2 linked regions of the Arabidopsis thaliana genome follow. The protein of the gene in region 2 interacts with the protein of the main gene of each other region in a pairwise test. Each region holds a gene or a part of one and is shown on either strand. Other genes may lie near its edges.

Evidence for each region.
Region 1: the proteins of NIR1 (region 2) and MDAR6 interact in a two-hybrid assay, tested with the Arabidopsis thaliana proteins (one large-scale study listed by BioGRID).

What each region holds. Positions count from the first base shown.
Region 1 is NC_003070.9:23,728,056-23,734,481, forward strand, and holds MDAR6 (monodehydroascorbate reductase 6), read left to right. Parts: upstream 1-1,819; 5' UTR 1,820-2,039; coding exon 2,040-2,049; exon of another isoform or gene 2,050-2,139; coding exon 2,140-2,314; intron 2,315-2,391; coding exon 2,392-2,491; intron 2,492-2,583; coding exon 2,584-2,661; intron 2,662-2,860; coding exon 2,861-2,932; intron 2,933-3,082; coding exon 3,083-3,201; intron 3,202-3,315; coding exon 3,316-3,400; intron 3,401-3,521; coding exon 3,522-3,611; intron 3,612-3,771; coding exon 3,772-3,873; intron 3,874-3,985; coding exon 3,986-4,075; intron 4,076-4,206; coding exon 4,207-4,287; intron 4,288-4,417; coding exon 4,418-4,489; intron 4,490-4,572; coding exon 4,573-4,667; intron 4,668-4,759; coding exon 4,760-4,848; coding exon of another isoform or gene 4,849-4,862; exon of another isoform or gene 4,863-4,935; coding exon 4,936-4,998; intron 4,999-5,097; coding exon 5,098-5,138; intron 5,139-5,359; coding exon 5,360-5,479; 3' UTR 5,480-5,919; downstream 5,920-6,426. Other genes in the region: ROH1 (uncharacterized protein), read left to right, coding at 1-1,119. UniProt on the Arabidopsis thaliana protein: Catalyzes the conversion of monodehydroascorbate (MDA) to ascorbate, oxidizing NADH in the process.
Region 2 is NC_003071.7:6,808,500-6,813,561, forward strand, and holds NIR1 (nitrite reductase 1), read left to right. Parts: upstream 1-1,895; 5' UTR 1,896-2,052; coding exon 2,053-2,428; intron 2,429-2,624; coding exon 2,625-2,979; intron 2,980-3,060; coding exon 3,061-3,349; intron 3,350-3,426; coding exon 3,427-4,167; 3' UTR 4,168-4,442; downstream 4,443-5,062. UniProt on the Arabidopsis thaliana protein: Catalyzes the six-electron reduction of nitrite to ammonium.

The sequences.
Region 1 (6,426 bases), on a different chromosome or scaffold from region 2:
CGTTTCACCGAGCTTCTTTCTCCTCCTCAACCACCACCGTCAGATGAAATTAACACGGTAGCTTCCGTAGCCGCGACGGAGCAGATTATGTCCGTGACTTGGCTTCGTAAGCTGATGGATGTTTTCCTCTGTTGCGAAGCTGAATTCAAAGCGATTTTGTTAATGGGTCGTGACCCGACCCAGATTTCTAAGCCGCCTTTTGACCGGTTAGTTCCTGAAATGTTAGACCGGTCGATTAAAGCGCTTGACATTTGTACCGCCGTTGTTAACGGTATCGATTCCGTTAGACATTACCAGCGTTTAGCTGAGATTGCTGTGACGGCTTTGGAGCAACGTCCGTTAGGTGACGGTAACGTGAGGAGAGCTAAACGCGCGTTGGCGAATCTCGTCGTCGCGTTGAGTCTCGAGGATAAAGAGAATGTTAGCGGCGGAGGTGGTGGCGGCGGCGGAGGGAATAAGACGACGGAGAGATCGTGGTCGTTTGGTCGTCGAAGCGGTGGATCATCGGCGGCGAGTAAAGGAGGAGCAACGATTGGTCAGCTCAAATCGTCGTCGTGGGCGGTTGGGAGAAATTGGTCGGCGGCGAAGCAGATCCACGCAATGACAGCGAATCTTACGCCGCCACGTGGTAACGAAGCGGCGGGATTGCCTCAACCAATGTTTATAATGAGTACGGTGATGGTTTTCGTAATGTGGGTGCTAACGGCGGCGGTTCCGTGTCAGGAGAGATCAGGATTAGCGAATCATTTACCAGTGCCGCCGAAACATTTGAATTGGGCTCAGAGTTTGATCGGAATCCATGAGAAAATCGGAGATGAGTGGAAGAAGAAAGAGAAGAAAGGATCTGCTGGATTGATGGAGGAGATGACGAGGATGGAGAAGCTAGGTCACTCGTTGATGGAATTCGCAGATGGATTTCATTATCCGGCGGAGAAAGATGCTGCTGAATCTGCGGCGGTGCAAGTGGCGGAGATGGCGGAGATATGCAGGAGAATGGAGGAGGAGCTTGTGCCGTTACAGCAACAGATCAGAGAAGTTTTTCATAGGATCGTGAGGAGTCGTGCGGAGATTCTCGAGGTGTTGGAGCAAGCCGGGAAAGTTTCGGCGCCAGTTGTGTAAAAGTTTTGAATTATTGGGAATCAATTTCGAAGTTTTGTAATTCTTTGGGGGCTAATAGGATATTTTATTTTCTTGGTTTCGTCTATTGTTGTTTTTCTATTTATGGTTGGGCTTTTAGAACTCTGGACAGGCCCATGTCATATGTTTTCCCTTCTCCTTATATTTTTCATTTTTCATTTTGTTAAATTAATGCATAATATCCAAAAACAATTTAAATTTTTGAAGGAACCCTTTAGTTACGGCTCCGAAGCTTTCACAAGTGAGAATGTGAGATCAAAGAAGGCAAATGGAGGATTTTAAAAGTTAAAATCATCTTTTATCTGCAAAAGTTGACAATTTTTTTGTATCAAATCTAAATCATCAAACTCTCTTAAACTACAAGAGCATAACAACCTCTATGTAATCCATGAAATAATCTGCTTGAAGGACATAACATAAATCATTATGGCTAGAGTGACTAACTTCAATCAAATCCTCTTAACTCTAGCTCCCTTACAATGGTATCGTAAAACATTATGCATTAGGGATTGTTGTCCTAGGAAAATAAAATAAAAATCCCCACAGACCAACTACCATTTTAACTTAAAAATAAGCTTCGTCCGCGACGAATTGTTTTCCATCCTAAAAATAGAATGGTGTAATCTGCTAATGGTTTAGTTCCATTAACTTGCAAGTTCTATTGAAAGCCTAAATGTCAATAAAGATATTAAAATTCGGAGTCAAAAGACAAATGAATCAAAAGCAACAAGACAAGTCAGCTCCATTCTTCACTACCCATCTTTTACAATAAATCATCTCTCTTTTCACAAATTTCAAACTACTCTCATTGCCCTTTAGCTTTGTTATAGAGCCAACACTACAGAGAGACTCACACACTTGTTTCAATAATTAAATCTGAATTTGGCTCTTCTTATAAACTAATGTCTGCAGGTCTTCTTATCTCTCTCACTCACCACCATCTTCTTCCTCGATTGTCAAAACCCTAGATCGAAATCTTATCTCTCTAATCTGTTGTTACAGTTCGTAGAGTCATGGCGTTAGCATCAACCACGTTGCCGACGAAGTCCGGATTATCTCTTTGGTGTCCGTCTTCTCCGTCTCTCGCTCGCCGATTTCCCGCTCGTTTTTCTCCGATCGGTTCTAGAATCGCTTCCAGAAGCCTCGTCACTGCTTCGTTCGCTAACGAGAATCGCGAGTTCGTATATATAATTCTTCCAATTTTGATTCTGGCGTTGATGAATTTCTATGCGATTGATTGTGTGATTGTGTTAGGTTTGTGATTGTTGGTGGAGGAAATGCTGCTGGTTATGCTGCTAGAACTTTTGTGGAAAATGGAATGGCTGATGGTCGGCTATGCATTGTGACCAAAGAGGTGATTCAAATCGATCCCTTAGTGTTTTCTTCATCAGTAACACTATTGGTTTTACTTTGTTTGATTGTTGGATTTGTGGTTGTTATTGTTAGGCTTACGCACCTTATGAGAGACCGGCTTTGACAAAAGCTTACTTGTTCCCACCAGAGAAGAAGCCAGCTCGTTTACCAGTAAGCTTTGCCAACTTTAATGTTTTGATTCGATCAATTTGAGTGGTTCTTTTAGTGCTATTGCTCTTAATTGGCTACATGAACATTATGGAATGAGTACCGGTAGATTGTTTACAGTGTTACGATTGTTACTGATATGAAGATTTGTATGATTTAGTTTTGTGATCTCTGTTTATATTGAGGGTGGTCGTATATGCAGGGATTTCATACTTGCGTTGGAGGTGGTGGAGAAAGGCAAACACCAGATTGGTATAAGGAGAAAGGAATTGAGGTAATTCATCTTCTGATACATAGTTTTGTTTTCTAAAATATATGAATGTAAGTGAAGTGTCTTTGGTTTGATTAACTGTACAGCTTGGAATGTACGTCGGTGAATTTGTGGTCTTCTCTTGTGTCTTACTAATGCATTTTGTTTGGACAGGTAATATATGAAGATCCAGTGGCTGGAGCTGATTTTGAAAAGCAAACACTCACCACAGACGCAGGGAAGCAGTTAAAATATGGATCTCTAATTATCGCTACAGGGTGTACAGCCTCAAGGTGAGTGAAAGTCGCATTTTTTTTGCAATGATTGATAAACAACATCAGAGAACCTAGGCCTTTTCAACCATGTATACTGATATTATGAATATTTGCTCTGGATTTTTATTGTAGGTTCCCAGATAAAATCGGTGGGCACTTGCCAGGGGTTCACTATATTCGGGAGGTTGCAGATGCTGATTCACTGATAGCATCTCTGGTAAGCTAAGGGCATTTTTACCAGTTACCAGTTTTGTCATCTTAATGCAATGTTGTAATATGCGTCATCAGAAAAATCCAAATTTCCTGGCTACAAAATAACCTTCCAATATGTGATACAGGGAAAGGCAAAGAAAATTGTCATTGTTGGTGGTGGCTACATCGGCATGGAGGTTGCTGCTGCAGCTGTTGCGTGGAATCTAGATACAACGGTTATTATCCCTTTCACTTGAATTTTTAAATTGTGCTAGAAATGAAGAATACTTCTAATCATTCGATGAGTTAAACAAATTCCTAGAAACGTTCAGATAAATTGTGGAACAGATGTACTAACTTACAGTTGCTTTTGGGCTTTCCCATGTGGAACAATAGATTGTATTCCCTGAAGATCAGCTTTTGCAAAGATTGTTCACTCCATCGCTTGCTCAGAAATATGAAGAACTGTACCGTCAAAATGGTGTTAAGTTTGTCAAGGTAAGATATCAGCACACGATCAACACCTTATACTGAAGCCTTTGCTTTCCTGCAAACCTAAGAATTTCAGAAACACAGTGTGCAAACTTGAATTTCTCTTTCTGTTGAACAGGGCGCTTCCATAAATAACTTGGAAGCAGGTTCGGATGGGCGTGTATCAGCTGTTAAGCTTGCTGATGGGTCTACAATTGAGGCAGACACGGTATAGTTGTAGCTCAGCTTCACTTTTTTCTTTCTCAAATGATGCAAATTCAACAACTTTGATCAAATGAAAACTGTGAAGGGTCAATGTAATACTGACTTTTGTACGACCTGTGTATCCTTACTTTACAGGTTGTAATTGGAATTGGAGCTAAGCCTGCTATTGGCCCCTTTGAAACTTTGGCCATGAACAAATCAATTGGAGGAATTCAGGTATTATTATTACAAAACATCCGGATTTATTTTCCAAGATAATCGGTTTTCAGAGTTAGAACTTCACAAGAAACTACATCAGTATGTTGATACAATTAAAAGTTTGATAAGAGCTCATCTTCAACCACAGGTCGATGGCTTGTTCAGGACAAGTACCCCTGGAATTTTTGCTATTGGAGATGTCGCAGCCTTCCCTTTGAAGGTACTTTGCTGCTAGATAATATATGTTAAGCCATCAATTATCTCGTGAAGTGCAAACTCATCATCTTATTGTCTGATGACCAGATATATGATAGGATGACTCGAGTTGAACATGTTGATCACGCCCGCCGCTCTGCACAACACTGTGTGAAATCACTACTCACGGCACACACTGACACGTAAGCTTCTTCCCTGGAAAGATCTGTAGACTTTGCCTGTATCCCTTAACGGATATTCACCTATTAGTTCTTGTCTTGCTCAATATTTGCAGGTACGATTATCTTCCATATTTCTACTCAAGAGTATTCGAGTATGAAGGAAGCCCAAGAAAAGTGTGGTGGCAGTTTTTCGGAGATAATGGTAAATCTATTTGACCTAAATATGACGCCATCCAATTACTCAAACAATATTTCCACTGTAGCTAAACCACTGATTCATACTGGCCAGTGGGAGAAACAGTGGAGGTTGGGAACTTTGACCCGAAAATCGCTACCTTCTGGATTGAATCTGGTAAATAATTCCTTCAGCCTTTTCTCACTTCAGTTAACCTTGCACAAATACACAGCTTAGCAAATTAACTAACTTTGATGAGTAATTATCGTAACACAGGCAGGTTGAAAGGTGTTCTAGTAGAAAGCGGATCGCCTGAGGTAAGAGTCTTTCTTAGCATCTCCCTCGTTAACATTCTGAATTAGCCAATCTTTAGAGCATCATGCTTCTTTAGATCTGCGAGACTAAAATTAGAATATTTTGGAACGGTCATTGAAACTTGACAATAGCAATTACATCAGCATGGGTTTTGTTTTCATGTAAATATGTTAACTATATGGATTTTAATTGCTTCCATTGTTATGTATATCTCTTGAAACAGGAGTTCCAGCTTCTACCAAAGCTAGCAAGAAGCCAACCACTTGTCGATAAGGCTAAACTCGCAAGCGCATCTTCAGTCGAAGAAGCTCTCGAGATTGCTCAAGCCGCTCTACAGAGTTAGAGAAGGAAACTTCATGGAGTTTTTTTAATAGCTTTTGGGTTCAGAGAAATCAACATCTTTTATTCCCGGTGAGAGTTATTCATCTTTCCATTGGAAAAATGATCTATAGAGAGCACTGTTGTCAATAATCTCCTCGAATAATTTATAACCTCTTTTTGGGATAATCATATTTTGCTCATTAGAGAGCTTTGTTTCTAATAAAATCTATGTTAGTCACTGAGATAGATAAAGATCGTTTTCTCATGATCTATGGGTTGTTTCGTGGATCATTAAAATATTTATTTATTTAGATTTCTTTTATCGACTGTAAACCATAAACGAAATTTGTATAAACAATAATGAAGACTTTGTTATAATTCACGCAAGGATTTGTTTTGCGGCACGTAATAGAGTCTTGTGGGATTGATTGCGACATGTAAAAAGGTTTTTGTAGCCTAAACGCGTTTCATACGCCATAGAAATTTATTTACTGCCTATGAGTTCTACAATTGAGAAAGTGTCAAAGTGGTTATGAATCTATGATAGGTTGGGCTTTTATGATTGGTTATGAATGTTGCAAAATCGTATAAATTTGCGGAATGGTGGGAATAACAAACTAAAAAAATCGTGATTCTGCAGAACCTTGTGGTTGGTAAATATCTATGATAGCCAAGGTTCATCATTGATAGGGGAAATCATTCGGCCAAGATGTCAAAACTGTTATAAACTCTTCTCTAACTCGATCTATATTTTAATATGACATCATTCTTGGATTAACACAAGAGACCATTGTTTTGCAAAAACAACACCCTCGGTTTTTAATGGGTGAAATATTGCAAAATGCAAACAAACGTGTAATGTTGGTAAAACTAAAAAAAACAATTGATGCCAAATCCAATAACAGAAAAAGGCATTGAATGACTCTTTCACTAATAACAAATTTGAAATTGGTATATGACTAATAAAAA
Region 2 (5,062 bases):
TGTTAGTTTGTCAAGTTGATTTATGGATATATTAATTCACGTGGTCAATTATTTACGTCGAAGATGTGATAGATATTTAGTAAGCCGGACTATAGGAACAGGAGTGTGGAAGCCACACGTGGAATAGCGGTGGAGAATAATTTGGATGGATGGCGGTTTAGGCCGAACCGGGGAAGGTTTTGTTTCTTAGACATCGTGAGAAGTCATACGTTATGTCCTTAAGATTTTAAAAGCTACAAGAGCCACTAGCTATTTTTCAATTCCAATATGATAAATTAATTCTTTGTAAGCTAAATTTTATTTTAATTTCTAAATAAATGTTAAATTTTGGATAATTAACCCTAAAGCCATAAACAATTCAGAAAAAAATAACAAAATTATAACAAGCCTATTCATTGAAATTCATATATGTACAAAAAAGCTATAAATGTTCATAGTATAAATGTTTTATGTACTATAATATGTATGGATATGCAAATTCATATAAACATAAAAAATAGCAGTGATTAATATGAGATATTTAGTTCATAATTTGAATGTTTATAGTATAAATTTTGTTAATTTTTTATATAATTAAAAATGACAATATATGAATTTTAATAACCAAACATAATGTTGTCACCTCGATGTATACTAAATTGCAGGAAGATGATACATATAAGTTGAAAACGATTGTGCGAATAATCTATAGAAAAGAAATATAAATTAGAAAAAAAAAGACAATGCTAACGTTTTGGTGTGGACAAGAAAGAAGACGTTGCGACTTGCGATGATGTTTGAACCTGCAGGTAGTTTGATTCATGTCTCTAGAATAACGCTAAAGAACACCTATGGCTCTGATAACATATTATTAATATTTACATTTATTTTATTTAAAGTAGTCCATTCATAATTGCACACGACTAAATGCTACACAACTTGTCTTAGTTGTTTAATCAAGATATTTTTACCTTATGATATTTTGTGAAAAATGATACCTATAAAATCCCTAATGAGCACATCAACCTTTTTTACCTTATTATATTTTGTGAAAAATGATATCTATAAAATCCCTAATGACCACATCAACCTTGAATCTTCTCTAATAAACCTTTTTTCCAAACACGCACTAAACCAAAAATTAACATCTCAAGAGGAAACCATTTAAAAAAAAAACAGAGTTAGATTAAGATCAACAAATATAGTTGAAAAGAACATATGTTAAGCAACATTACCATAAATTCATAATTAGTAGTGATTAAAACTTAAGAATACTAAAGTATGAATATGAAAATTGTTGTATTTTTTTGTAGTATGTAATATGCGGAAACTTGGATGTTATCCTATTCATTGAAATTCATATATGTATGTAGTTATCATTTTTTAAATATATTAAAAAATTAAAAAGTAATAATACTATAAACATTCAAATTATGAAATAAATATCTCATACTAATCACTGCTAATTTTTTTTCCAATGTTTCTCTTTAGTATTTCTCTTTAGTATGGGAGTGACAAACTTAATATGAAATCTATCTCCCTACATGCAAAAATCGAATCTCTTTTATTATTAATGAAGTGTATGGTCGGTGTCAATAACTAATATGTCATATTTTTTACAGACTGTTCAGATATGATAAAAATAGTTTTTTTCCAACCAAATGGTTGGTCTTCTGAGTGTATTTGAAAACGACATTGAAGAATTAATATATTTTTTTTTAATTTTAGTTTTTTATAGTACAAATATTAAAACAAACAATCCTACCATATCATAACATTTGTAAATAACATTTTAAGTTTTGTTTTGAGTTTTAATTAATTTTCTATGACAAAAAAATGAAGTCAATAGACTAAGTGAATCATATAGTATAAATAAACACAATTTAAATAGTTTCAAATAAATTTAGAAAGAATAAAACAAATAGAAATCAGAAGGTGTCTGTTTCCTCCTCGCAACATACGATCAAAGAGAAACAACTTGACCCTTTACATTGCTCAAGAGCTCATCTCTTCCCTCTACAAAAATGGCCGCACGTCTCCAACCTTCTCCCAACTCCTTCTTCCGCCATCATCATGACTTCTTTCTCTCTCACTTTCACATCTCCTCTCCTCCCTTCCTCCTCCACCAAACCCAAAAGATCCGTCCTTGTCGCCGCCGCTCAGACCACAGCTCCGGCCGAATCCACCGCCTCTGTTGACGCAGATCGTCTCGAGCCAAGAGTTGAGTTGAAAGATGGTTTTTTTATTCTCAAGGAGAAGTTTCGAAAAGGGATCAATCCTCAGGAGAAGGTTAAGATCGAGAGAGAGCCCATGAAGTTGTTTATGGAGAATGGTATTGAAGAGCTTGCTAAGAAATCTATGGAAGAGCTTGATAGTGAAAAGTCTTCTAAAGATGATATTGATGTTAGACTCAAGTGGCTTGGTCTCTTTCACCGTAGAAAGCATCAGTGTATGTTCCTCCTCTCTATCCTCTTCCATTGACTTGTGATTGAACTGTGTAAAGGTTTCGTCTTTAGTCTTATGTGTGCTTCTTTCAATGACTTGTGATTAAATTGGTGACCAGATTGTGTAAAGGTTTAGTCTTTACTCTTTATCTTTAGTACATTTTGATTTATGAGTGCTTGTTGTTGATTTTGTTGTTGTAGATGGGAAGTTTATGATGAGGTTGAAGTTACCAAATGGTGTGACTACAAGTGCACAGACTCGGTATTTAGCGAGTGTGATTAGGAAGTATGGTGAAGATGGGTGTGCTGATGTGACTACTAGACAGAATTGGCAGATCCGTGGTGTTGTGTTGCCTGATGTGCCTGAGATCTTGAAAGGTCTTGCTTCTGTTGGTTTAACGAGTCTTCAAAGTGGTATGGATAACGTGAGGAACCCGGTTGGGAATCCTATAGCTGGGATTGATCCGGAGGAGATTGTTGACACGAGGCCTTACACGAATCTCCTTTCGCAGTTTATCACCGCTAATTCACAAGGAAACCCCGATTTCACCAACTTGTGAGTTCTCTTTTTAGATTGATGTTGTGTGTTGGTGAGTGAATGGTTATGCTAAGATGGGTTTTTGTTTGTTTGTTGTAGGCCAAGAAAGTGGAATGTGTGTGTGGTGGGGACTCATGATCTCTATGAGCATCCACATATCAATGATTTGGCCTACATGCCTGCTAATAAAGATGGACGGTTTGGATTCAATTTGCTTGTGGGAGGATTCTTTAGTCCCAAAAGATGTGAAGAAGCGATTCCTCTTGATGCTTGGGTCCCTGCTGATGACGTTCTTCCACTCTGCAAAGCTGTTCTAGAGGCTTACAGAGATCTTGGAACTCGAGGAAACCGACAGAAGACAAGAATGATGTGGCTTATCGACGAACTTGTAAGTACATGCTTCTTGCAATCTTAAATTCGGTATTGAAGTTCTTGGTTGTTGATTTGTCTGCATGAAATGTATAGGGTGTTGAAGGATTTAGAACTGAGGTAGAGAAGAGAATGCCAAATGGGAAACTCGAGAGAGGATCTTCAGAGGATCTTGTGAACAAACAGTGGGAGAGGAGAGACTATTTCGGAGTCAACCCTCAGAAACAAGAAGGTCTTAGCTTCGTGGGGCTTCACGTTCCGGTTGGTAGGCTACAAGCTGATGACATGGATGAGCTTGCTCGGTTAGCTGATACCTACGGGTCAGGTGAGCTAAGACTCACAGTAGAGCAAAACATCATCATCCCAAATGTAGAAACCTCGAAAACCGAAGCTTTGCTTCAAGAGCCGTTTCTCAAGAACCGTTTCTCCCCTGAACCATCTATCCTAATGAAAGGCTTAGTTGCTTGTACCGGTAGCCAGTTCTGCGGACAAGCGATAATCGAGACTAAGCTAAGAGCTTTAAAAGTGACAGAAGAAGTAGAGAGACTTGTATCTGTGCCAAGACCGATAAGGATGCATTGGACAGGATGTCCCAACACTTGCGGACAAGTCCAAGTAGCAGATATCGGATTCATGGGATGCTTAACACGAGGCGAGGAAGGAAAGCCAGTCGAGGGTGCTGACGTGTACGTCGGGGGACGAATAGGAAGTGACTCGCATATCGGAGAGATCTATAAGAAAGGTGTTCGTGTCACGGAGTTGGTTCCATTGGTGGCTGAGATTCTGATCAAAGAATTTGGTGCTGTGCCTAGAGAAAGAGAAGAGAATGAAGATTGATTCAAAAGCTATTGGATTCTTAATAAGTCAAGAGACCTATGAATGGTTCTCTCTCTGGTTTCAGACTTTGATACTTGATACTTGTATTTGTATTGTGCCCATAATTTTGGGTTTTGTAGCTCTCTCCTTTGTTGTAACCTGTAACTTTGTCCTTGGTTGTTTTGTAATATCTTGTTTTTTAGTAATAGTAGTATAATCTGATTTTTTGTCATATATTGTCTTGATTTCTCTGTGATATTTATAAGAAATAAACATTTGTTTCTTTTTACCTCCAATATTTTTGTTTTTGATATATCAAAAGTTAAGGGAATAGATTTTAATTAATAAAATATATTGATAATATTCTTAAAAGATTATTAATAAATTAAATTGTTTTTTTTTTAACGTCAATTTCATTAATTTTTAAGAAAGAGTACATGGTAAATAAAGCCCAACAACACAATTATAAAGTCCAACTACAAACCCAATAGAAAGATTACAACTTGAGATTAAACTAGGTTTAGAAGGGACACGTGTTTAATTATCTGTTCTTGCGCATGTTGGATGAGAAAAGATGCCGATATGACTCATCACCGCCATCTTGAGTTGAACCGTCGATCGAAATTACCTAGTCCGTCGTTGAAATTTGAACCATCATAATTATTAAACTCTGGAACACGCGACATAGCAAGAGGGCAGATCAGTTGCAAAACACACTCTCCTGAACTGTTCTACGCCGGCCACCAAAGCTCCACTCAACACAATTCACGATCTTAAAGAGGCACCTTCATCGTTACCAGATTATGGTGCCAACATGGGAATGAAGGCTTTATTCTTTTCTTACTCAGAATTGAGCAACGAATGGTCTACAAGATTCTGAATTAGACACTCAGCTTCTAAGATTTAAGATATGCAA